Linked DNA regions of Mus musculus. The protein of the gene in region 2 interacts with the protein of the main gene of each other region in a biochemical or structural test. Links are inferred from orthologs where the notes say so. Each region holds a gene or a part of one and is shown on either strand. Other genes may lie near its edges.

The links.
Region 1: the proteins of Erbb3 (region 2) and Shc3 form a complex in vitro, tested with the Homo sapiens proteins (2 studies listed by BioGRID and IntAct, with this or other methods). The link is inferred for Mus musculus from reciprocal best matches to the Homo sapiens genes ERBB3 and SHC3.
Region 3: the proteins of Erbb3 (region 2) and Syk form a complex in vitro, tested with the Homo sapiens proteins (2 studies listed by BioGRID and IntAct, with this or other methods). The link is inferred for Mus musculus from reciprocal best matches to the Homo sapiens genes ERBB3 and SYK.
Region 4: the proteins of Erbb3 (region 2) and Src form a complex in vitro, tested with the Homo sapiens proteins (2 studies listed by BioGRID and IntAct, with this or other methods). The link is inferred for Mus musculus from reciprocal best matches to the Homo sapiens genes ERBB3 and SRC.
Region 5: the proteins of Erbb3 (region 2) and Tns2 form a complex in vitro, tested with the Homo sapiens proteins (2 studies listed by BioGRID and IntAct, with this or other methods). The link is inferred for Mus musculus from reciprocal best matches to the Homo sapiens genes ERBB3 and TNS2.
Region 6: the proteins of Erbb3 (region 2) and Rasa1 form a complex in vitro, tested with the Homo sapiens proteins (2 studies listed by BioGRID and IntAct, with this or other methods). The link is inferred for Mus musculus from reciprocal best matches to the Homo sapiens genes ERBB3 and RASA1.
Region 7: the proteins of Erbb3 (region 2) and Ptk6 form a complex in vitro, tested with the Homo sapiens proteins (2 studies listed by BioGRID and IntAct, with this or other methods). The link is inferred for Mus musculus from reciprocal best matches to the Homo sapiens genes ERBB3 and PTK6.

The regions. Positions count from the first base shown.
Region 1 is NC_000079.6:51,566,652-51,570,629, forward strand, and holds the start of Shc3 (SHC-transforming protein 3), read right to left. Parts: upstream 2,801-3,978; 5' UTR 794-2,800; coding exon 320-793; intron 1-319. UniProt on the Homo sapiens protein: Signaling adapter that couples activated growth factor receptors to signaling pathway in neurons. Involved in the signal transduction pathways of neurotrophin-activated Trk receptors in cortical neurons.
Region 2 is NC_000076.6:128,567,023-128,569,829, reverse strand, and holds the end of Erbb3 (receptor tyrosine-protein kinase erbB-3 precursor), read left to right. Parts: coding exon 1-462; 3' UTR 463-2,307; downstream 2,308-2,807. UniProt on the Homo sapiens protein: Tyrosine-protein kinase that plays an essential role as cell surface receptor for neuregulins.
Region 3 is NC_000079.6:52,634,882-52,638,381, reverse strand, and holds part of Syk (tyrosine-protein kinase SYK), read right to left. Parts: intron 345-3,500; coding exon 135-344; intron 1-134. UniProt on the Homo sapiens protein: Non-receptor tyrosine kinase which mediates signal transduction downstream of a variety of transmembrane receptors including classical immunoreceptors like the B-cell receptor (BCR).
Region 4 is NC_000068.7:157,469,293-157,472,338, forward strand, and holds the end of Src (neuronal proto-oncogene tyrosine-protein kinase Src), read left to right. Parts: intron 1-97; coding exon 98-229; intron 230-460; coding exon 461-669; 3' UTR 670-2,546; downstream 2,547-3,046. UniProt on the Homo sapiens protein: Non-receptor protein tyrosine kinase which is activated following engagement of many different classes of cellular receptors including immune response receptors, integrins and other adhesion receptors, receptor protein tyrosine kinases, G protein-coupled receptors as well as cytokine receptors.
Region 5 is NC_000081.6:102,101,510-102,105,733, forward strand, and holds the start of Tns2 (tensin-2), read left to right. Parts: upstream 1-1,424; 5' UTR 1,425-1,577; coding exon 1,578-1,652; intron 1,653-3,020; coding exon 3,021-3,129; intron 3,130-3,829; coding exon 3,830-3,867; intron 3,868-4,224. UniProt on the Homo sapiens protein: Tyrosine-protein phosphatase which regulates cell motility, proliferation and muscle-response to insulin. Phosphatase activity is mediated by binding to phosphatidylinositol-3,4,5-triphosphate (PtdIns(3,4,5)P3) via the SH2 domain.
Region 6 is NC_000079.6:85,223,487-85,226,986, forward strand, and holds part of Rasa1 (ras GTPase-activating protein 1), read right to left. Parts: coding exon 3,466-3,500; intron 3,208-3,465; coding exon 3,048-3,207; intron 2,139-3,047; coding exon 1,996-2,138; intron 833-1,995; coding exon 717-832; intron 59-716; coding exon 1-58. UniProt on the Homo sapiens protein: Inhibitory regulator of the Ras-cyclic AMP pathway. Stimulates the GTPase of normal but not oncogenic Ras p21; this stimulation may be further increased in the presence of NCK1.
Region 7 is NC_000068.7:181,197,207-181,199,789, forward strand, and holds part of Ptk6 (protein-tyrosine kinase 6), read right to left. Parts: intron 2,557-2,583; coding exon 2,393-2,556; intron 2,025-2,392; coding exon 1,871-2,024; intron 1,336-1,870; coding exon 1,174-1,335; intron 1-1,173. UniProt on the Homo sapiens protein: Non-receptor tyrosine-protein kinase implicated in the regulation of a variety of signaling pathways that control the differentiation and maintenance of normal epithelia, as well as tumor growth.

The DNA.
Region 1 (3,978 bases), on a different chromosome or scaffold from region 2:
GACATCTGATGAAGCCAGGTGACCAAAGCATGCTTCAACAACGGTGCCTTGGGGAAAGCAGGCTCCATGCGAGGTGACCAGACAGTTCACCCTTTCCCCCCCACACAGAGCATTTCTAATTCTCTCCTTGCCCTGTCGAGCAAGAGAATGGCTAAGGAGGGCTTATTTCCTCACATCCAACTGTCGTCTGTGTTCCCTGGGGCTTGTCCCTGAACCCTGGGGCTTCAGAGAATGACATCTGTCCCCAGCCCTGACTTCCTCCTCCCCACCGCACCCTGTCTCCGAGACCCCCACCCAGCAGTGTGCTCGGGTTACCCACCTTGACCACATAGGTGACTCCCGGCCCCAGCACCTGATCGCTGGTGTGCGGCGCGCCCCGAGGGGGCCTGGGCAGTGGCTCGTCGCCGGCCCGGCTCTTCCTGGTGGCACTCATGCTGGCGGCCGGGGCGCGGGACCCGGGGGTCGCGCTGCCGCCGTCCGGGGCCGCCAGGCTGGGCGCGCTGCAGCTGCCCGAGAGCCGCGCTCCTGCCCGCTCCCGGGCGGCCGACGACAGGCCACGCAGGCCGGAGCTGGAGAGTTTCAAGTGGGACACCTTGTGGAGCAGGTGGCCCAGGCTGCCGGGCCCATCGTCCGGCGCCTTGCGCAGCGCCTCGCCCGACACCAGGTAGGGGCTCGCCGCGGGCTCCGCCGAGACCTTGCCGCCGCTGCCGCTCACCGACAGGCTGTGGAGAAGGTCATCGACCGATGTCACCGAGTCATTCCTGAAGCGGTTGTACTTGGTGCGTGGAAGCATGCCCCTCCGTGGGCTCGCCGCATCCACCCGGGCGCTGCTGCTGCCGGCCCTGGCGCGGACTGCCGCGCATAGCACACGAGCCGCGGTCCCCCGAGCGGGACGAGGAGCCCGAGTCCCAGGACAGCCTTTCCGGAGAGGGACAGCCGAGGCCGACGACCGAGCCCTTTTCACCGTTACAAGGCAGCAGAGCAGCAGCCACGCAGCGCGGGCCCTGGAGACCGAGGGTTGGGGTGGAACGCTTGCCTTGCAAAAGTCATAGTTGCGGCTGATGGAGCGAGCGGCCAGCTGCACGGGGCTGCTCCCAGCAAAAGCGTGACTCACTCTGAGGAGACCCTTCTCAACAAAGGCTCGGTGAGCTCCGCAAATCACTTCCTGTAGCAAAAAGAGAGAGAAGAAAACGACATCCACCCGCTGACAGCAACTACAGCCAATCAGTTCTCAAATTTCCTTTTTCTACCTTCGCAGATATTTCCTTCCAGTCTTTGCCTTTTCACCTACCCCCTCCCCATCCCGCATCTGTGCCAAAGGTAAATCCAGTCCCGTCAAATGATCTCTTGAACTTTCCGCAACCCATTATTCCGTGCAATGGCTTGCTCTTCCCTTGCTCAGCTCATGTGGATGAAGCCCAGAAGTGTCTGACAGGGATGCGTTCAAATGTGACGAAGGCTTTTAAAGAAGTCTTCAAGGCGAATCCTGATGAATCCTGATTTTGGAAAGTAGCAAGAATTTTAAGTAGGAAAAAAAAAAAGAGGGGGGACCCTTCACCAGCAGATGAATATTTAAGAAAGAAAGAAAAAAACCTGTCAGTTTCCTGTGGTTTGCTTTTCTTGTTCAGATCAGCAGAGCAGCCATGTATCTGTGGCGGTGCAATTCCTGTACCAATTCACGAAAAAAAAAAAAAATCAGCACAGAAATTTCTTCTCAGTACAGCTCAGAGGGGGTCTTCCCTAATAATTTACAGCAGTCAGCAGCCGTACTCAGCTAGGGTTCAGTTGAAAAATCTACTTCAAAAAAAAACCTGCATCTCTGCTGAGCGGCAACAGGCTCCAGAAATCCATGCCAAAAAAAGAGAGAGAGAGAGAAAGAGGGCCGCGTTTTGAGTTTTATTCCAAGTGAATGTGTTTCAGCCCTGGAAGCATGCCTTAGTAGCATTACCAATCCGTTTCAATGTCCCTTCAGTTGCTGCTTGCAGCCCTGCAGTCAGGCAGGAAAAAAAATGCGGCTGCTCTAACTGTCCATCAAATCCACAGCAAGAATGGCCTCTTCCTTGCGAGTCGGGCCCAGGCTTGCAGTGACACGCACAGGCCTTCTTCCTGACGCTTGGGAGAATAGGACATCGACAGCCTCCCCGAGGGTCTGACCAAGATTCTGAGACCCACTGAGCCCTTCCTCGGTGGCCTCTACCAGGTGGCCTCATGTGTTAAGACAGATAACCTGCACCACCGAGAAGTCAATCGCTGTCAAAGTTTCCTGGTAACTTCTGTGCAAGCGAATGCATTTGCCTTCTAGCACACTAGCAGGTCACCCTGAGTCTTCTCACGCCCAGGGCTGATCTCGGGAGGCAGTGCGGTTCCCAGGCTTTCTGGGAGCCCCAGGAAGGGAGTTTAGGGAGAGCCACCCGTGGCGGCCGTGCAAGTGAGGCCGGTTCCAGAGGACGAAAAAGCGCAGAGCCGCCAGGCCCGCCCTGGCGCAGCAAACACGTCCCCACCGCTCTCCAACCGCGCGGCAGCCCTAGCTGAACAGCCACCCCGCACTCTCTTTTCTCCCTTCCTCTAGCTCGCATAGCAACAGCAGATGCGCACCCCACGGACGATTTCGATGGTGATTGGAGTCCCCCTCCAATCTGAAGCAAGTCAGCCCCACCATTCCCAAACCGTGGTCTTCTTCATTAGAAGCAGACAAAAAGAAAAAAAGAAAAAGGAAAAAAAAAAAAAACAGACCGAATGTGAATGAGATGCTGTTTGTGTGAATGAAAGGGCCGGCGAGCGAGCCAGCGTTTCTGTGAATGGAGCGGGTCCTTGCAGCCGGTGCCAGGCAATCCCCTGGGCTCAGGCGGCTTCAGCCAATGAGAGGCTGAGCCGATGACTCATTCAACAAAGGCTCGCTCAATAGTGGAAGATTCCATTTCAATCAAGGGCGGGATCTTTTATCCAACAGCAGTGTGGGAAAAAAAAAGAGAAAGAAAAAAAAAAAAATAACACCACCCAGATTGATTACAAAAATTCTGGGAGGAAGAAACAAGCCGGTATAGAGAGATGGGGAAAATTAGTTTTATAAGGGTGTTGGAGACTATCGGGTCAGTTCCGGGTGAAGCAGGACCACTCTCTGGGAGGTGAGCTGTACCCAAACTTTCATTCACTGGTTCTTCTACCTCACAGAGCAGCCATGAATGTACCAGCTTTTATTATGAATGCACACAGAAGACCCAGTCAAAGGCTAGCCTCTTCCCCATGAAGTCTTTCCTAATAAAGGAATAAAGAAGACCTATGCAAGCTAAGTCTCCAGAGCAGCGGAGGGGATCCCAAAGCTACATCATTTAACCCTTTAGCCAACAAGGAGACTTTGGATTCTATTATGAGGCCAACGGAGGGAGCCGACTGAGAAAATATGAATGGCGGTGTAAATTTACATACAACAATTAGACTCGTTGGTGTTAGACGTTAATATACCAAGAATATCATATAGTACAGCTAGAGCTGCTGTTAGCTGGAAAGTGATACGAATATTTTGGTGTACAGGAAAAAAGAAAATAAATTAAAGAGCCCAAATGCGTCAGATGGAATTCCACAGCCCCTGCAGGGGAACTCTGCTCACGTGCCTGTCCCAGGAGAGCCCTTTGTTCGCCCTAGGGAGCCTGGCTGTCGCTTATTTTAGGCATGATCCCCCAAAGCCCAAGCTCTGGGCTGTCAACTCGAAACAAACTGGCACCAGTGAGAACGAGGATAGATAATTCTAGATGCCATGTTCAAAGTCTGCGCTATGCTGTGACTATCACGTGTTCACTGGATGCTTATGTTGAAGTCTAATCCTGGCCACCTTTCTTTCAAAAGGTGAAAGCTTAGTCTGTGTCATTTAGGGGAGGGGCTTCTGGGACAGGACTGGGATTAGGTCATCAGAGTAGAGGAGCAATAGCCCAGTCTGTAAAATGCTTTATCTTGCAAGCAAGAGGACCTGAATTCAATCCT
Region 2 (2,807 bases):
GAGGAAGATGAAGATGAGGAGTATGAATACATGAACCGGAAGAGGAGGGGTAGCCCGGCTCGGCCCCCCAGACCTGGTTCCCTGGAAGAGCTGGGCTATGAGTACATGGATGTGGGTTCAGACCTCAGTGCTTCTCTGGGCAGTACGCAGAGTTGCCCACTCCATCCCATGGCCATCGTGCCCTCTGCTGGCACGACTCCAGATGAGGACTATGAATACATGAACCGCAGGCGTGGTGCGGGCGGTTCCGGAGGGGATTATGCAGCTATGGGGGCCTGCCCAGCAGCTGAACAAGGGTATGAGGAAATGCGAGCTTTCCAGGGGCCTGGACATCAAGCCCCCCATGTTCGTTATGCCCGCCTCAAAACTCTGCGTAGTTTAGAAGCCACTGACTCCGCCTTTGACAACCCCGATTACTGGCATAGCAGGCTTTTCCCTAAGGCTAACGCCCAGAGAATTTGACCTCGGTTCCTTGAGACTCTTGGGGAACATTTGATGGCAGCTAGTGCCTCTTTGAGGGTAACCCTTCCTCACCCCTTTCTCTGAGGTCCCACCTCCATTTCTCCAAGAATGCCATCTAGTTCTTGGAGATTTGTCAACATATCGTCACAAACTTTTTGCGGTACATAGCCGGCTGTGCACTCTCTTCTCTTCCCAAGCCTAGGAAAGAGAAGTTTCCCTGTGTCTCTCCCTTCCTGATCCCGTTCCTCAGGGAGACTCCCTGGAGATATGAAGGATTACTCTCCAGACCCTTTCTCTCAGGCTCTTACTCATTGGGATTAGACTCTTAAACTTTGCCTTTCTTCCCCAATCAGACTCTAAAGAAGGGGAGATGAAAGAGAAGAGAAAAAGTAAGACTTTTGTTTATGAGACTTTTAATCCCAGAGGAAGATTGAGAAGCTCAAAGCTTTGAGGAGTGAAGTTAGGAGTAGGTACCAGTGACTACGAACTGAACATGCACTGTGAGCCAGGCATCCTCATACTGAACCCCACCTACATTGTCTCAGTTATAATCTTTCCAGTTTTGTGAGGTAGAACTGATCCTGTTTCACCAATATGGAATCTGAGTGTTCCAAGATAGCCAACAGGTCCCGGAATCTTTGAATAGTACTGAATCCTGTAGGGTTTTTTTTTTCTTTTAATATTTTTAATATTTTTTTAATATTCAGTAAACAAAACTGAATTCTGTGATTAGTGACTTTTCCATCTTAACTAAGAACTTATTGTTCTTTTTAGTTTGAGGTGACACAGCAGAGGTTGTACTGATTTTTCTATTTTTCTAATTTAATGGATTTGTTATTATAGACATTACAACCCCCCCCCCCGTGAAGTCAAGAATTTCCACCTTTTCTCAAACAAAAAACCATTTCTTTGACACATTTGAATTAATAGCAGGACTTGCCCTTTGGGCCCATTCTTAGGTAAGATGAGGGTCTTTGAGCACAAGTACTATGAGATCTGTCAGTCAATCTAATAACCAGGCAGGTAATTAAGTGGCTCAAGAGCAAATAGGTTATTCAGTGCGGGTGTACCAGGCAGAGATGATTCATCTACCAAGTGGAACAGGAGAGGCCGGCTGTGATTTCATCGTGCTATTCAGAATGGGTACTATGTAAACTGTAAGGATTATTTATTTCAGGAACTTGTCACTCAGCATGTTTCAGATGACAGTTGACCACAGGTTACTAAAACTGTGGACAGCAAAACCTCAGAAAATGGGGAATTGAGCCTTGAAGAAGCAAAGCCACAGGTCCAGGATTCAAAATCCTCCCAATTCCCATGCCTGTGATTTAACTATAAAGTGTATGTGTGTGTGTGTAAAGCCGGGCCTGGCGACTGGCCTGCAACTGTGTAGCCCAGGATGGCCTTCAACTCCACACACAGCAATCCCATCTTCACCTCTCAAAGGCTGTGGCTACATGTGTGAGCTTCCAGACTCCGTTTGTTGGTGCACTGAATCAAGCAAATGCAGCCAGCCACGTTTTCCTCCAGCACCCAGGCCTCTCATCTCAGGAAGGAGTGGAGATGACACAGGACAAGTAACTAGACATTTTTGTGTAAGCTGCAGGCCATTTACGTTGCAGATACACACTCATTACAAGCCAATTCGCAAAGGTTCCAAGACTCCTATTTTGGGAGCTGTTCTCAACCAGTAGTGATAAACTTCTGGTGGGATAGAAAGAGGATCCATCTTCAAACCTCAAGTCTTCCTGGATGGGAACTGGGGGGAATGTCTTCTTGTACCATTAAAGTTTTTTTGTTTTGTTTTTATACGTGTCTAAATAAAAATGTCAGAGTTTTTTTGTTTGTTTTTGTGGATTCCTGTCAAGTGGAAAGTACACATGACCATCCCTTTTCTTTGCTTCTTAACAATGGGTGGCTTTCTCTGCTTCTGACATTCTGTCACAAGTAATGTAACCAATCTTGATTTGTTCTAAGATTTTAATTATGGGTATGTGAGAGAGTGGGAGTTTGGGAATGGTGTTATGTGCACGTGAGTGCAATGCCCACAGAGGCCAACTACACAGTGCTAAGAGTTACAGGTGACTGTAATGTTCTGGGAACTCCCTTCCCTCTGCAAGGATACCAGGTTATACCAACCAGGTTATTTCTCCAGACCCTGTTTGCATTCTAGTCTTTTTCTTTTGTTTGTTTTTTCGAGACAGGGTTTCTCTGTGTAGCCCTGGCTGTCCTGGAACTCACTCTGTAGACCGGGCTGGCCTCGAACTCAGAAATCCGACTACTTCTGCCTCTCAAATGCTGGGATTAAAGGCGTGCACCACCAGTGCCCGGCTTTGCATTTCTAG
Region 3 (3,500 bases), on a different chromosome or scaffold from region 2:
TAGAAATCAGGCCCGGCACAGCCCAAACTCGGGGGACAGGGCGTGTGTGGGGGCGGGGCCCCGGCACAGCCCAAACTCGGGGGACAGGGCATGTGCGGGGTGGCACCGCACACAACTCGCATGCCCCAGGTCACCTGTTCTGCTGCAGGTACTTGTTGAGCGGCCCCAGCTCCGCCATCTCCATCACCAGCATCCAGGACTCCGCCTCGCAGATTCCGATCATGCGCACAATGTAGGGGTTGTCCAGCTGCTGCATGACGTTCGCCTCTGCCAGCAGCTCGTCCTTCAAAGCCGGGTCGTTGGCCTCGTTCTTCAGGATTTTCACAGCCACGGTTTTCACAACTCTGTGACACAGATTGTAACTTGTGAGAAACTTTCCAAACTGCCTAGAGGTCCTCTTCTCTGTAGTCACATTGTGTGTGTGTTGGGGGGAGGGGGGTGGAGGGGAATGGTGCTGACACCCGCTGCCCAATGAGAATCTCTTAAAGCCATTCAGAAAAACAAAACAAAGCAACCCAAAAACAAACAAACAAACAAACGAAAAAAAAAAAACAAACAAGAAACGGCCATGGGCTGGGGAGATAACCCAGTGTAAAAAGCGCATGCAAGAGTGAGGTTAAGAGTTCAGATCCCCAGAACCCACAGAAAGTTGGATAGCAGATGTCTGCAACCCCAGGGCTTCTAGGGGAGAATCTATGGAGATTCGTGGGGCCAGCAGTGAATCCCCAGAGGCGGTTTGAAACAAGGTGAAAGGTAAGAGGTGACATCCAAGGGTTGTCCCTTGGCCTCTATATATGTGCTGTGTCAGGAGTACCTGCACACACACACACACACACACACACACACACACACACACACATCAAGATAAATAGCTAGTACCATTTTTCTCCTTCTTGTGAAAATTTTATCACAGGTGCAAATTTTCCTTCTTTCTTTCTTTCTTTCTTTCTTTCTTTCTTTCTTTCTTTTGGGGTTTATTTGTTTGTTTGTTTGTTTGTTTGTTTTTGTTTTTTCGAGACAGGGTTTCTCTGTGTAGCCCTGGCTGTCCTGGAACTCACTCTGCAGACCAGGCTGGCTTCCAACTCAGAAATCCGCCTGCCTCTGCCTCCCAAGTGCTGAGATTAAAGGCGTGTGCCACAACTGCCCGGCAGGTGTAAATTTTCAAATCACACATAGCTGATGTTTATTCTTTCATTTAAACCACAGTTTGTTAGAATACTTTCAAGAGTTCAACACGATCTATGTGATATTTTTGTGAGAAATTGAAAAAGATCTGTATTTTCGAAACATGTTGAGGCTTGCTTAAAAGTAACAAAGCCCAGTGGGAGAGAAGTGTTTCTTTCCCTTTAACTCTGAGCTTGAACAACTCGTGTGCTTCAGACCGGCCATGGGGGTGCTCACCTGTGAGCCCCAGAGCCCCAGAGGTGGATACAGGAGGATCGTTGGTTTAAGATCATCTTTAACGTCCTCTGAATATAACACCTGCTCTTTCCATCTGATCAGCTATGCCTTTTGCAAGAGAGAAGAAAGACCAGCTTCAAATGCTGGTGCTCCTCCATATAAGGAAGGGGTGGAGATGCTCACTGGACTGTTACCCTGATTCCTGGAACTCCCCCCGGCGCTTCCCAGTCATCTGTGTGAGATCCTGTCCTAACTGAACATAGACGCACGGTCTTGGGAGGTGCTAGAGCATACGACTGTGAAAGCTAACAGGAGCCCGAGAGGGGGCATCTAGGGGACCCTACATCCTGTAGAGGCCACCATCCACACTGAGGCCCAGACTTCTCAGCGGCACACGCAGCTCCTGTGAGTAACCCCCACATGCGTGCCCAGTCACTGGTTCCCCAAATTGGACTTCGGGGATTGTTCTCTGGTTTGTGGTTGGTGCTCTGTATGATGGTAATGATTCCATACAGTACACAAGAGATTCTTTCTACAGCTGTTCTTTTACAGACAGAGGAACCATGCCCCACTGCCTGTGAACCCCGGTGTAGTGGACAGCAATGGAGAATGGTCCAGGCTGAGGAAAGCCCCGAATTGTGAAATATTCAACCAGCTTCAACAAAGTTCCCCTGTTGTGACACACATACAGCCTGCTGCAGTGTCATGTGGTTTCCCAGCTAGGTTCTGCCTACATGCATAAAGGAATACAAAGTTTCTTTATGATATTGCAAATGAGCCTCTGGGCCCAGAATTTAAAAAATAAAAATACATTGCTTTGCTTTTTTTTTTTCTTTGAGTCCGGGTCTTACATAATCCACTGTGGCTTGAAACTAGCTGTATAGTAGGAGATGACCTTAAACTTCTGATCCCCCTGTCTCTACCTCTGGGGCTCTGGGGGGCCACAGGTGTGTACACAACATGCCCAATCAGAAGCACACATTCTGTTCAAGCTCAGAGTTAAAGAGAAAGAAACACTTCTCTCCCACTGGGCTTGGTTACTTTTAAGCAAGCCTCAATGTGTTTCGAAAATATGGATTTTTTTTTATTCCCTCACAAAAACATCACATGGATCATGCTGAACTCTTGAAAGTATTCTAGCAAAATGTGGCTTAAAAGAAAGAACAAACATTAACTAGGTATGCTTTGAAAAATTACCTGTGGTAAAATTTCCACAAGCATGAGAAGTTGTTTCTTTTGTTGAACCTTCAAACCGATGAATCAAAACAGAACTATTCAGGAAATGGGCCGTGTGGGGGCTCAGGTGGTAAAGATACTCTCTGCCAAGCTTGGTGGCTGGAGCTTGATCCCCAAACCACATGCATGTACGTACACACACACACACACACACACACACACACACACCTAACAAATACACTAGGTCAAATAACAGAATTAGTGGGACACACACACACAGGAAAGTACACACAGCTAGTGTGGTGATCTAGAACACAGCCTGTGGCCTGACAGGAGGATTTAGATATTATCATCACCCTAGAAGCCTCTCTGGGCCCTCCCGGGAACATGGGAGGCTCCATTCTGTCATCTCTAGCCACCTATTTTGGCTTTCATAGTTGGGTCTATCATTACATCTGTGGTGTGAGGCAGGGATCTAAATTAAGAAGTTAGAAAAGGTTTCTTGATTCCTCTAGACATTTAAAAAAGAAAATACCACGTCTTCTAGAAAAGCAGAGGGGAAAGATAATATCCCACTAATTCTAAGAGGCTACTATTGTTCCAATTCCTGACTGTTTACGGTGGCCCAGGAAGAGACTATGAAACTCCTGGTCTTCCAAGCACTGAGCTCTTTTACAGGTAAGAGAGTAAGACTCCATTATGAGAATTGTAAGAAAGCAATTGACTGATAACTTCACGTGGTGGTTTAATGAGAAAAACCTCGGTAGGCTCATATATCCGAAGGCTGGGCCCCTAGTTTGGTAGAACTGTTTTGAGAATGTTTAGCAGGTGTGTCCTTGTTGGAAGAGATCTGTAACTGGGGGTGAGCTTTGAGGTTTCTTGCTCTCTGCCTCCAACTTGCAAATAAGATATACACTCAGCTA
Region 4 (3,046 bases), on a different chromosome or scaffold from region 2:
GGGTTATCCGATGGTATCCGTCTGTCAGGTGGAAGTGAGAGTCATGCTCCTGCGGCAGACTGGTAGTGAGTGATACCCTGTGCTTTCTTGCTTGTAGGTGCCAAATTCCCCATCAAGTGGACCGCCCCTGAAGCTGCTCTGTACGGCAGGTTCACCATCAAGTCGGATGTGTGGTCCTTTGGGATTCTGCTGACCGAGCTCACCACTAAGGGAAGAGTGCCCTATCCTGGTGAGGAGGCTATACCTGTGTCCCTGACCTTGGCCCTGGGGGCAAGTCTCACCCTCCCCCAACCAACACGCCGCCCCTGGGCTTCCTCTTTCCAAGCTGATCTCTGATCACAGGCTGCCTTTTGTCAGGACTCAGCCTCAGAAGCGGGGTTCTGTACACCATAGGGTCAAGGCTGTCTAGGCTGTGTCAGTCTCTCTGGAGCCATCTCTTCATTGCCCTCTCTGTTCATAGGGATGGTGAACCGTGAGGTTCTGGACCAGGTGGAGCGGGGCTACCGGATGCCTTGTCCCCCCGAGTGCCCCGAGTCCCTGCATGACCTTATGTGCCAGTGCTGGCGGAAGGAGCCCGAGGAGCGGCCCACCTTCGAGTACCTGCAGGCCTTCCTGGAAGACTACTTTACGTCCACTGAGCCACAGTACCAGCCCGGGGAGAACCTATAGGGACTGTGTGCGCAGAACTGTCACCTCTAGGCTTCCGGGTGTTGCCTCCGATGCACCTGCCTCCCTTCATCCTCTCTCTGGGGCTGCGTTGCCTCGGCAATGCCCCTTTTGGAGCATGGAAGGGCTTCAGGGATGGGGCAGCCTGGAAGGACAGGTGGAGGCTGGTACAGTGACTGTCCCATGCCTGCCATGGCCACAGGCTCTCTCTGTGCATTCTCTCTGGAGTTAGCCTGCTTCTCACAGGACACTTGTGACAGCAGAGCTGGGGGTGGTTTTCCAGCCTCGACCCACTGCGCTCACCTGGCACTGCCCCACTTTCTTCACCCTGGGTCTGTTTCAAGCCGGCCAGAGAGCCTTTCCAAAGAGGAATGAGGCCCAGGCCTTGGCTATACGTACTTCCTGCCCCTGGCCATCCTTGTTGGAGGCTTCTGGGTGGAACACTGGGTCTAGAACCTTCTTCCGTGGCTCTCAGGCAGCCCAAGGCCCAACACCAGTTGGGATAAGTGTCAGAGTGAGCACCCCCTCAGCCCGTCCTCCACAAGGGACCCTTGAGATCACTGACACATCACCCCCATTTCTCTGCTGGAAAAAACCAGAATCCAGGAGGGGTTGTGACCTGCCCAAGACCAAGGGCAGTTTAGGGTTGAGGTGGGCTTGGCACCTGGTGCTCCTTCTGTTCCTCAGGAACTAACGAGAACTGTCCTCCAAGGCAGGGGGCAGGGTGGGGCCTGAGAGTGGCTTCAAGTCGGCAGGGTTCTGCTGCCCCTGATGCTCATGGGTCTGTCCCGGGGAAAGAGGCAAGCAGGAGGCTGAGCCAGGAGCGAGGGGTAGAAAGTGGTGGTGTGGAACAGGCTTCTGTTTGTCACAGTGTGGGTGGGCTGGGGTGGAGGGAGCTCTCAGGCTGCAGAGACAGTCAAGTAGAAGAGGAAGAGCTAAGGGGTGTGGAGTCCTGCTCCTCCATTTGTCCTGATCATTTCAACACCTGGCCCTTGCTCTCCTGCCCGTGCCAGGACTCCCTAACTCAGGGAGGGAGGGGAGGTCCTTAGCTGGGGGAAAGGAGGCGAGGGTCCTTACTGCTGTGTACCAACACTGACCCCGCCCTCTCTGAGCTGTACTCTCTGCCCGTGACTATGGCCTCTGTCATTGCTCCGTTCCAACCACCCCCCCCCCCCCCCCCCGTATTGATAGATCCACAGCTGGGCGTCCAAGGGGGTCCTGGAACAGCAGACATCTGACTGTCTGGTCCCTGGCTCCTCTGACCAGCCCTTAGGCTATGTGGTGGCTTCTCTCTGCCTCAGTGTCCGGGTCTGTAAGGTGGGCAGTTGATGATTTGTGGCATCTCAACCAAGGGCCCCTGTGTGTGTGTGTTTGTGTGTGTGTACACATATCTGTGCCTGTGTGTCTTCCCTTGTGTCCATATTTAATGTGTAAGAACATCCCTACTCTATCCCAGACACGACCATTTCACCCATTGCCCCATCACAGCAATAATGTCCCCGCTACTGGGGACCCGAGCCAGCCAGGCCATGTTTGCAGGGAAGGATGCCAAGCAGGGCCTGCCCTGACAGTTCCACTTTACTCCCATATTCTCCCCGTGCTCCTGGCGAGCCTGAGCTTGCCACCCGGTTCTCCCTGCCCGACTCCAGCTGCCCAAGGACCTTTGTGTAAGGTGGCCTCAACTGTCTGGTTTTCTTTTTTTCTTTCTTTTTAACAGTGTTTTGTAGATTTCAGATGACTATGCAGAGGCCTTGGGGACCCCTCCCCAGCTCTGGGCAGGGCCTGGGGATCCCACATTCCATGCCCAGGCTTGGGGGAGGGGGACCCAGACTTGTTGTACATATTTTGCATACTGTCTGATTAAACACAAACAGACCTCAGTTTGGTCAGCAGTTTATTGGACATCGACTGTGTGTGGGAATAAGAAGAGTCGTGGATGTGAGGGAAGCCGGCAGTCAGGGTCCTTGACCCCTGCAGCTAGTGGCTTCTGGGCCTGGAACTGATCAGATGGGGCAGATGCGGCATGTCCGCACTTACTTGAGGATCTGGAGGAGGCACCGAGTCCAGGGCAAGGATGTTTGTGAGATTCAGGACCCTGGCAGGATGGAGCAGAACTGCCTAGCATGCATGGAATGTGTTCCTGGGTAATCTCCAAGGCTGTGGTGTGTGTATGTGTGTGTGTGTGTGTGTGTGTGTGTGTGTGTGTGTGTGCGTGTGTAGGCGGGGTGGGGTGGTCCAGGTGAGCTGTGTGTGCTTTGTGGAGAGTTCCTATCTACCCCCATGCAGTGTTCTCTCTAACTTTCCCTTCCCACTCTCAGTCTCTCCTCCAGAGTTCTCACACATCTCCAGCTTCATATTCAGGGACGGGGCTTGTTCGACT
Region 5 (4,224 bases), on a different chromosome or scaffold from region 2:
ACCATAGGAGCAGAGGGGAAAAAAAATTGATCAGGGGAGGCGCTGCAGTGATCCATCTTCCCCAGCAGGGCTGGGTGCGGAATCAGGACAGCCCCGGTTGCCCACCTGGCCATCGGCCTGGAATGTCCTGGGACACAGCCAGAACTCAGGTGGGGATTGCAGAGCCAGGGGCCCTCTCCAGTTACAGCACGGTGCCCCACCCCTTGCCACTCACAGGGCCTTCTAGCCAGGGTACACTGGCAACGATGGGCTTCCTAGAGAACAGGCATGCAGCGGGAAGAGGCCTCAGACTCTTCAGTCTGACAGGTCTTCTGAAGGATCCCTGGGGAGGACTAGAGCAGCCCTTCATCTGTCAGATGGGCGTGAGGCAGAAAGAGGAGAGTCCTGTGGGACCCTGCAAGAGGTGCCAGAACTGGAGGAGTTGCACTGGGACATTCAGTAAATACCATGCAAATGAGGGTGACACGGTGTACATTCTTTCAAATGACAGCTAGCTACAGCATTCCAAAGGCTGCTGTCTAGAGCTTGGGCTGGGAACCCCCAGGCTGTTGACCCTTGTTGTAGGAAGGTTGTTCCATCCTTTCCAAGGGCCCCATACACCTCCTTCCCTTGACTCCTGGGACAGGAAGTTGGCCCTATTCCCAGGAGGGAAGCAGGAGGCCCTAGAGAGGGTGGAGTATGTGTTGGGAGGGGGCCTCCTGTCCAGTCCTCGGGTCCAGTGACAGCCACAGAGGAAGGAGAGACAGGCCAGAAGAGCCATGAAGGTAGCGCTCAGATTCTGGTGGGCGGGTGGGGTCCCCAGTAGAACCTCAGGTGCAGGATCTGGGAGCTAAGCCAGGAACTGTGGGTTGTATCTGGAGAGGAGCAGCTGGGGTGTTCAGGAGGAACCTCCAGTGCTTTGGGTTACAGCAAGATGGACCATTCCTGTAAGCCCTTAGCCCTTCCCGCTGGAACTTGGCGTTGAGGAGGGTACTATAAGATCCTTCTCCCGTCTGACAGGGAAGTTAGCCCTCATCCCTAACTTTCTTTCACCCTGAGGATGTGGAGTGCTGGGCTGTCAGGGGTACTGGTTCCCAGCAACACTCCCTTCCCACAGGAAATCCCAAGGGAGCATGAGGGTTCAGGCTAGAGACTGGCCGGGGACACAGTGTTCTCCACTGGCCCTTGAGCCCTGCCCTGAGACCTGAATTCCCACCCTGTGCCACTGGCTGATTCCAGGGCTGGATCTCAGGACTGCAGACCCCCTGCACACAGTGGCCCACTGGGTGGGAGGCAGCTCCAGAGATGGGGAGAGCCAGAGATCTTAGGCTGACACTCCCAGCAGGGTAGATCCTGGGAATCTGATCTCCTGGCCTCCCCCACATCCTCCCCCACCCCACTTCCTGGAGCAGCGACCTGCCCCCTTCCCGCCTGCACTTCCCTCCACTTCCAGGGCCAGGCTTCTCCACACACCAGCCAGACAGCCTCCCCTCCACCCAAGGGAAGCGGCTGCCTCGGCAGGCTGCTTCCAGGAAGCCCCAGGCCAGGCCCCAGCATTGTTCAGGCCCTGCAGCCAAGAGTCCAGCCAGCCAGACACCATGAAGTCCAGCGGCCCTGTGGAAAGGTTGCTCAGAGCCCTGGGGAGGAGGGACAGCAGCCGGGCCACCAGCAGGGTAGGAGTGCCCACCAGCTGGGCAAAGGTGGGGCAGGGTGGAGGTGCGGACAAGGCGGGAGGGCCAGGATTCAGGCCAGACCAGACCCTCTTCCTAGTTTCAGCCTCTTCTCCTGGCTGGCTCAGCATCCCCCTCCTCTTTCTTTCGCCTGACCCCCTGAGGTGGCTAGGGTAGGGTAGCAGTGTGATTCTAGCATCTGTTTTGACTTCTCTGTGTATTTCCTGGCTTGAGCCTGGATAGGCCCCGAGGGTTCAGCTAAGAGCTCAAGCCCTGACCTCCGGGGGAAGCTTGAGGGAAAAGGTATGGGAAGAAGGCAATGAGGGAAGGGAGGGTGCCTTCTACTGACGTCATCTGCACACGACGTCATCATCCACAAGTGCGTCCAAGTGTCCTGGTGGGTCTCGCCCCCAGTCGTTAAGGGACCAACGCTGCTCCCATGTTATTCTCCTCTTCACACTACGGTGGGCAGATCCAGGGAGAGGAGGGGACAGCGGGAGCTTGAACACACAGCGGTGAAGAATGTGCAGTGGAGTGGTGGGAGGAGTGAGGGAGATTGTCCACAGACTCTAGATAGGAGGGATGAACTGGGGTGGGAGGGGTCAGAACTGCAGTGAAAACTTGCAGTGAGTAGGGACTAAGGGGGACCTGGACAACTGGTGGCAGCCCAGCCAGCCACTGACCTCACTACCTCTGGGTGGGGAGGGGGCATCCGGAGAACCTGGCCACCCCTGTCATAACATGCAGAGGCAGCGAGGCAGCTGCCTGTGTGTCCCCACTGCTATTCCTCCTTCCGAGCGAACGTCTTAGACAATTGCTGCCTGCCGCCTCAGTGCACAGAGAGTAAACATGTTGTTCTGACCGTGGGGGAGGGGGTCATATTAGCTGCCTGGAGCTTGGGGACACTGAGAGCCAGGGGCTCAGAACTGGCTGCAGTCAGTCTGGGTATTATGTGATAGTGCTTGTGTGTCCTGGCCGTCAGCTCACAGTATACAAGCCTCTTGTGGGGAGGGCAAGATGGGAGGAGAGTCAGACCCCCCACTCTGCCAAGATTCAGAAAGCCCTCACATTGGAAGTGGGGGTGTGTGTGACAAGGACATCACATAGCTCCGCCACGTGAGAAGTCCTGAGTGAACCCTTAGGGAGGAGTTGACCCAGCCAAGGTGACGCAAGGGGTCACATTCCAAGCCCTGTAGAGGACAGGCCTCATGACTACCCTGAAACAGCTGTGGCCAAGTGTGCCTTAGAGTTCACAGACTTTTGGCTGGAAGAGAGGGAAGCAGCATCGCTCTAAGGAAAGGTCCCTGCCCAGCCTTGGAGATGAGCCCACTAGGAACACATACCCCTATTTGTCTGTCATCCCACCCGCAGCCGAGGAAAGCAGAACCACACAGCTTCCGGGAGAAGGTTTTCCGGAAGAAAACTCCAGTGTGTGCAGTGTGTAAGGTGACCATCGATGGGACCGGTGTCTCCTGCCGAGGTGAGGTGGTGCTCTTGGTGCCTGAGCCCTCCAGGCAGCACTTCTGTGTGGCTCAGGCTCTAGAGACAGGCAAATTCAGAAACAAATGCCCTCACTCTTCTTGACACCCACCTTGCCACAGCCCAGGAGATTTGTGACTCTACCACCTTCCCATCCTTACCTGTGACTAGGGTCTTCCCTTCCTCTTGCTCCTCCTCCTCTTCTTCTTCCTCCTCCTCTTTTTCTTCTTCCTCCTCTTCTTTTTCCTCCTTTTTCCTTTTCCTCCTCCTTTTCCTCTTCTTCCTCTTCCTCTTCCTTCTCTTTTTCCTCTTCTTCCTCCTCTTTTTCCTCTTCTTCCTCCTCCTCTTTTTCCTCTTCTGCCTCCTCCTCTTTTTCCTCTTCCTCCCCTTTCTCTTCCTCCTCATCTTCCTGTTCCTCTTCTTCTTCCTCATCCTTTTCTTCTTCCTCCTCTTCTTCCTCCTACTGTTCTTCCTCCTCTTCCTCTTTCCCCTCCTCACCTCTATTCATCCTAGACCCCAACCCCCGGCCCTCTTCCCTTACTCCAGAGCAGAACCTGTTGATAACCAGCTCTGTTCTTCAACTCCTAGTAACCTAGTGTACCAGGGTCCCAGAGCTGGCTTCTAAGGCCTGTGGGGCTGGAGCACAGTTATTTTGACTATTCCCGTAAGCCTCTGCTAACCTCTACCCTTTCTCTCTCTAGTCTGCAAGGTGGCCACACACAGAAAATGTGAAGCAAAGGTGAGTATGTGGTTCTATCTAATGGGGAGATGGTGTCTTTCCCTGTCCAGACAGGCATCTTCAGCCTCACTGGCATGGGCCACCATGTCACCCTGTCCCCTGTCACTCACTCCTGGACACCCCTTCCTGGGTGGCAGGGGTGTTGTGTTGGGCTCTTTAAGAAACACCCTACTCCACCCCTGGAGGGTTGGCCCAGGAGGGTGGACAGTGAGACAGCGTTTGTCTTGGTGCTGTGCCCAGGCTGCAGCTGGCGAGAGGATGAGGGGGGGTGGCTGCGGGGGGAGGAAGGGCGGGGTGGATAGAGAGGGAGCAAGATTTCAGAGACCAGGCACCCTGATGGGAGGTGCCTTCCCTCTG
Region 6 (3,500 bases), on a different chromosome or scaffold from region 2:
TGTAGGCCACTTATGCTGAACTGATTTCTGTAAACACCCATAGATATATCTCAGTGTCCTGCCAAAATAACATAAATGTCTCAATACAGAAAGTAAGCATCATCATAATCTAGTTGCAACTAAAATTTTAATTTACCCAAACTGTATACCATATTTTAATGCATTTGGGTTTCTCATCTAAAAAAGGTTTTGTCAAAAGTAATGAGAAAAACATTCAGTGATGGATATAGAAACATAATCCAGTATGCTTAGCTCAATGCATTGTAAATTCTGTGTTAATGAAAAGTATGAAACAAGTTATTAGAAATGAGAATAGATTTAAACTTCTTTTTTTGTTTGCAGGAAATCTAATGCGAGGCAAGAAATAACCACTAAATTTCCAGATACTGTCCCCAGATTTGAGACATTTCAATCACTCCCTAAGCTAAAATATAAGCCAGACTTACTTGGTCCACAAAAACATACAATCTAATTTGTAAATACATGTTTTTAGGCTGGCCTATGCTCTTCTTGACCCAACCTCTCCAATACTGGGATTACAGACATGTGCCACAATGCCTGTGATTTTATCTAGCTTCTTTAACAGTTATTTTACTCATTCTTTTACTCTCTTTCCCTTAAATATAATCCATCTTTTAAGGACTAAAAGTCTGAGTATAATGCCAAGATAATAAAAATCATTCATTAAAAGACAAAACAAAAATTTGGCAACTTACGGTGGAAGTATTTCTGAAGCCATGAATATTTTCTCCACAAGCTCTGAAAGTATGCTCAATAGGTGTGCTAAATTAGTGTTCACATCTTCATTTTTTTCTAACTTTGACGGACTTAACTAAGAGAAATACAAATTTATTTTTTGTGATGATTGAATTTCAAGTAAATTGTGATAAGTGAGTAGTCGTTTTCAAAGCTGTTACCTGTTCCACATATACAAATGCAGTAAGTTTGCTAAAATTAGTTTCTCAACTAATATTTAACTACTCAGTTCTGTTTATATAAGAAGAAAAGCTGTTTTTAATGAGGTACAACTTAGTGGCTAAGGAAAATAATCAAAATATATTAAGTAAAATCATGACCCTTCAAGTACACCCCTCCTCCCCACCATCCAAGTGTTCTGGTCTGCTAGATTTATCTACAAATATGAAAGCTATGTCAGCTTTCATAGTAAGGGTAATTGTGGGATTACCCTCAACTTAAGTCACTCATTTTGTTGTGGCACAATTAACATTTTACAGCTCCAAGTGTTGAAAAGTATTTCGTTATTTTATTGACACTATATCAAGCCTAAAAATGTATACTGTCTTTCTTTGAAATTGCTCTGTAGCATTCATGAAGTAGAACAGTCATGTACGAGTGATTCTACTCAATGGTATGGGCTGCCTATAAACTCACAGTGCAACCTTAATCATCTTTAAAAGATTATTTCATCTTCTTTTAATCCCCATCTTCTATAAAATAACCCAGAAATCCCTCTAGAGAGAAGATGTTACAACATATTACTCAAGGTAAGCCCTCTTGAAGTTTGACTTTGGTTGCTGACATGGCATTATCCATGTGGGAAATTCCATATCCAACTTCACATGATGTGCAAACCATAACACAAGCCTCCAAGAATTCATGTAAAATTAACTTCAGTCATAGACTTAGGTTCCATTCCCAGGATACTTTATTGTATATATGAAATCATCCAAATGTTTTAAAATACTTCTTTTTTTCCAATAACAGATACTCAACACGTACAAAAGTCTCTAGAAAAGTGTTCAATTAACGTTATACACATTCTCTCAAGGCAAAGTATGTTTGGTCATTAATATAATAAAAGAAATGCTCAAAGAGCTTTGTATGTGCTCAAGGAGAGGTGGATTATAAATATACTAGAGAACACGATTGTACTGATACATCTCAGAAATGATGTACTTTCCTAAAGATGTCATTTTTTAAAGTTCTCATTAAAATATGCTATTTGCTGCAAAGAATAAAACTATAAATTCTTACCTCACATGATTGCTTGCTTTCCATAATCTTTAAAATGGAGTCTTTCAAAGCATGATGAACAAACTGTGTGGCAGTAGCTTTCATATACTGCTCCATCAAGGTACTTGCAAGTGTTGTAGCTCGAAATAGGGTAGTGGCTTCATCTACACAAAAATGGATGTTTCATTGTATTTACAGAACTGTACTAATATAACTACTCTGAAAATTAAATTAATTTTCTTTAGTAATGTGCTTTTTACATACATATGTTGGGGTTAACATGCATTAAATCACCTGATCTCAGAGTGAATTAAATCATGACTATCATAAGTGAGAAGAAAAAAACACCATCATGTTCATATGAAAAGATTCAAAATAGTTCTCCAGTGTGTTGAACACCAGTTTGTGATAAACACAAACTTTCTACTGATTTCATAACCAAAAATAAATTACTTCATCTCTGTGGTATTTTGAGTAAGAATGGTCCTCATAGGCTCAAATATTTGAATGCTTATTTACCAGGAGTGACACTATTTGAAGATTAGAAGGGTTAGGAAGTTTGCCCTTATGGAGGAAGTGTTGTCACTAGAGATCGGCTTGAGGTTTCAAAGCCCATCTACTAAGCCTAGAGTCTCTCTCTGTGCCTACAGATCAGGATATAGCTCTTGGCTACTGCTACAGTGTTTGCCTACATGCTACCAAGCTTAATACTGCCATAATGATAAAATATTAAATCTCTGAAACTGCAAGCAAGGCCCCAATTAAATGCTTTCTTATACAAATGTCACCAGATATAAAAAAAAATATGTACCATTTTATCTACTCCTTGACAAATTAATTTTTGTAATTTTTATGGTTAAAGAAGGCAAGGATTGTCACCAAATCAAAGTGCTGGGAGAAAATAGATTAGGAATCTGTGAAAAACATAGTAATATGTTACAGTGGCCTTGGAACTGATATAGAATGTAGAAATAAAATACACTAGTATTTTATGACTTCTACTCATGAGTTACTAAGTACAAACTCAGGTAATATGATAAATATTACACCACTGTTGATCACACATATATTACCTTCCATACTTATCTCTCTGTCATTTAGTGTGCATAACAACAATGATTCAAGCTTTTCATGAAGAAATATCTTTAGTAGGATGCTGGCCAGTAGTGTTCGGTCTTGTCCACATACATGTGATAAAGCATAGACGACATGAAGTTCCTTTTGCAGTATAAGCTAAAAGTGACATAAGTAAAGACTGCTGAAAGTACACAACAAGACCAATTGAAAAAACATATCTACTGAATACAATTGTTAAAAATTGACTTTATATTCCTAGTCTCATTAAGATCAAAATCACAGTATGTGTTTTTTACATCTGGCTTCTTCTCTGCCATTAATATAGGGTGTTACTATTTAACTTAATGGAGTTTTATTAAATAGTAAATATTTCTGTTTAGTATCATTAAAAACGATTAAACTAGTAAACAATACCTCTTTAAATTCACTGTACTCTTCTTCTGGCATGA
Region 7 (2,583 bases), on a different chromosome or scaffold from region 2:
GCAGCTGGCTTGGCTTAATTGCAAAATGGGAAGGCCTAGACCTTCTGCAGCTATGTACCTAGAGACAAAGAGCATATTCTTTGTCTGACACCCTTTCTGGGAATCATAAAGCAATCTAAGGTCAAGAGCATTGCTGCAAGATATTCTTGGTATGTAGCCATTGAACACTCTAGATAATGCGCAGCCAGCAAGTACTACACCTACAAGGGGCATGAGTTTCATCTCTGGAGACTTCTTCCTGCAGAAACTGCTTATGAGATCAAGCTCTTTATGAGAAACACAAAGAAAGAGAGAGAATTTAGAATTTAGAGAGAAGCTGGTGGGCTAAGGCAAGTCACTAGCAGGCTACACAAGCCTATAGTAAAGTAACCTCAGCTAACTGTGAGGATAGAAATTGTGAGGGAGAGTTCTTTTCTGTACTTTTTCAAATTTTATGATCAGCAATTGGTAGATTTTTTTTGTACTTAATAAGACCATTTACTTGTCTCTTTTGTTATGTATGTATGTATGATGTGTGTGTGTATGTATGTGGAAGTCAGAGGACAACATCGGGTGTTAGTCTTCACCAGTGACGTGTTCCAGGATGGTTTTGTGGTTTGCTACTGAGCCAGATAAAACAAGAATTCTCCCATTGCCTCCCATCTCACCGTAGAAGCCTAGGGGTAACAGAAGCCCGCTCCTGTGCTTGCCTTTACACTAACTAGTTCTGAGGATTCAGACTCAGGTAACAGAAGCCCACTCCTGTGCTTGCCTTTACACTAACTAGTTCTGGGGACTCAGACTCAGGTCCTCGTGCCTGCCTAGCAAGCACTTCACCCACTGAGCCATCTCTCCCACCATTGGTTTTTTTTTTTTTTTTTTAACGATTTGTATGTATGAGGCAATGTAGCATGTGTGATGTAATGCATGTACTCATTATTAAGGGTGTGTGCACATGTATACATGTGTACATGTGCATGTCTTTCCTTGATTGTTTTATATCTTTGGTTTTGGGGGGTTTGGGGAGGGAAAGGAGAAAGGTTTGAGACAGGGTTTCTCTGTGTAGCCCTGGCTGTCTTGGAGCTTGCTCTGTAGACCAGGCTGGCCTCAAGCTCAGAGAGCAGGCTGTCTGTGCCTCCAAATGCTGCCTCCAGCACTTTCACCCGGGAAAGGAGACTGGAGCTTTGCACGTACCACGCAGTAGCTGCAGCAGGTTCCCCTTGGGCATGAGCTCCGTGATGATGTAGACCGGGTCCCCTGCAGTCGCCACAGCGTACAGTGACAGGATGTGCTTGTGCCGCAGCTTCTTCATGGCCTGAATCTCAGCCTGGAAGGTGTGCTGGTGCAGGAGATTGTCTGAGAGACATCAACCTCAGTGAGTATAGCCCTCGACCTGTGCCCCAAACAGGATCCTGGCCCAGACCTCCTGAAGCAAGTCAGGCAATGTGGTCAGCCTAGGAAGACAAAGGCTGGCCTCCAAGCTACCACACTAAAGCCTTCCCCACCCCGAGCCCTCAGTGCCCCAAGACTGATGTGTCCATTTGCCCTCCTGTGCCCAACTTGGTCACAATTGCCAAAGTCAGCATTTCCCAGCCAGATGTTTTCAAAGTCCTGGCTGACCTGATTCTTGAGGTTTCAGGTATAAACCTGAGGGTGACGTTGGGATTTGAGATGAAACTCACATTTCCAGTGACTTGTTTAAAAACAAAAACAAAAAACAAAACAAAACAAAACCAGGTACAATTGAAAGAAGTTACTCCCACCATGATGCTGTGGGTGCCCAGCAAGTGTGTTGGGATACCCTCAGTGGGGGAAGACTGGAAGTGCCTACTAGAAGGACTAGTGGGGAAGCAGCACGTGATCATGTTGAGTTAGTCCTGGGCCTGCTCACCTCTAGAGATCACCTTCACAGCCACATGGACCTGGCCTTTCCAGAGCGCTTCAAAGACCTCCCCAAAGTAGCCGGCCCCCAGCTTCTTACAGAGTGTGAACTCCTCCCTCGGCCTCTCCCAGTCATCCCAGTGGGGCAAGGGCTCAGTTTTGTGCTGGAGAGACAGAAAGGGCAATAGGAATGGGTAGGAATGGGGGCTGGGTCGCCCAGCTTGTCTTCAGGAAGGGCTTGCTCCAACCCCTCATGAGGAGCTCTATTTATTATTTATTATTTATTATCTATTTTTTTAAATTTAGAGATAGATCCAGTATCTGGATATCCTCATAAAATTGCTGCTGTCTTCATCCATCAATGTTAGGGACTGGTCCTCAGCAGGAGCACATCTGAGCTCTGGTGAGCCAGTGTAATAAGAGCAATAGCCAAGGAGATTGCCCTGTCCTGTGCCCCCATCCCCTCCCCCCCATATTATACCCTACCAGTAGGACCCTGGGCAACTATGTCACAGAGGAGCCAGTGGCCTACCTTCCAGCAGGGCATGGACAGCTGTAGGCCATGAGACAGGCTCTGGGTCTTATGGTAGTCCACAAGCTCAGACAGATTGGAGAAGGATACCGCCTCATTCAGGTGCAGCCGGCCCTCGTTGTTCTTCCAGATCCTGTAATGTCGCACGGCCTGAGCATCCCGGACTGGGGTGGGTGGCCGGCGGAAGGAGA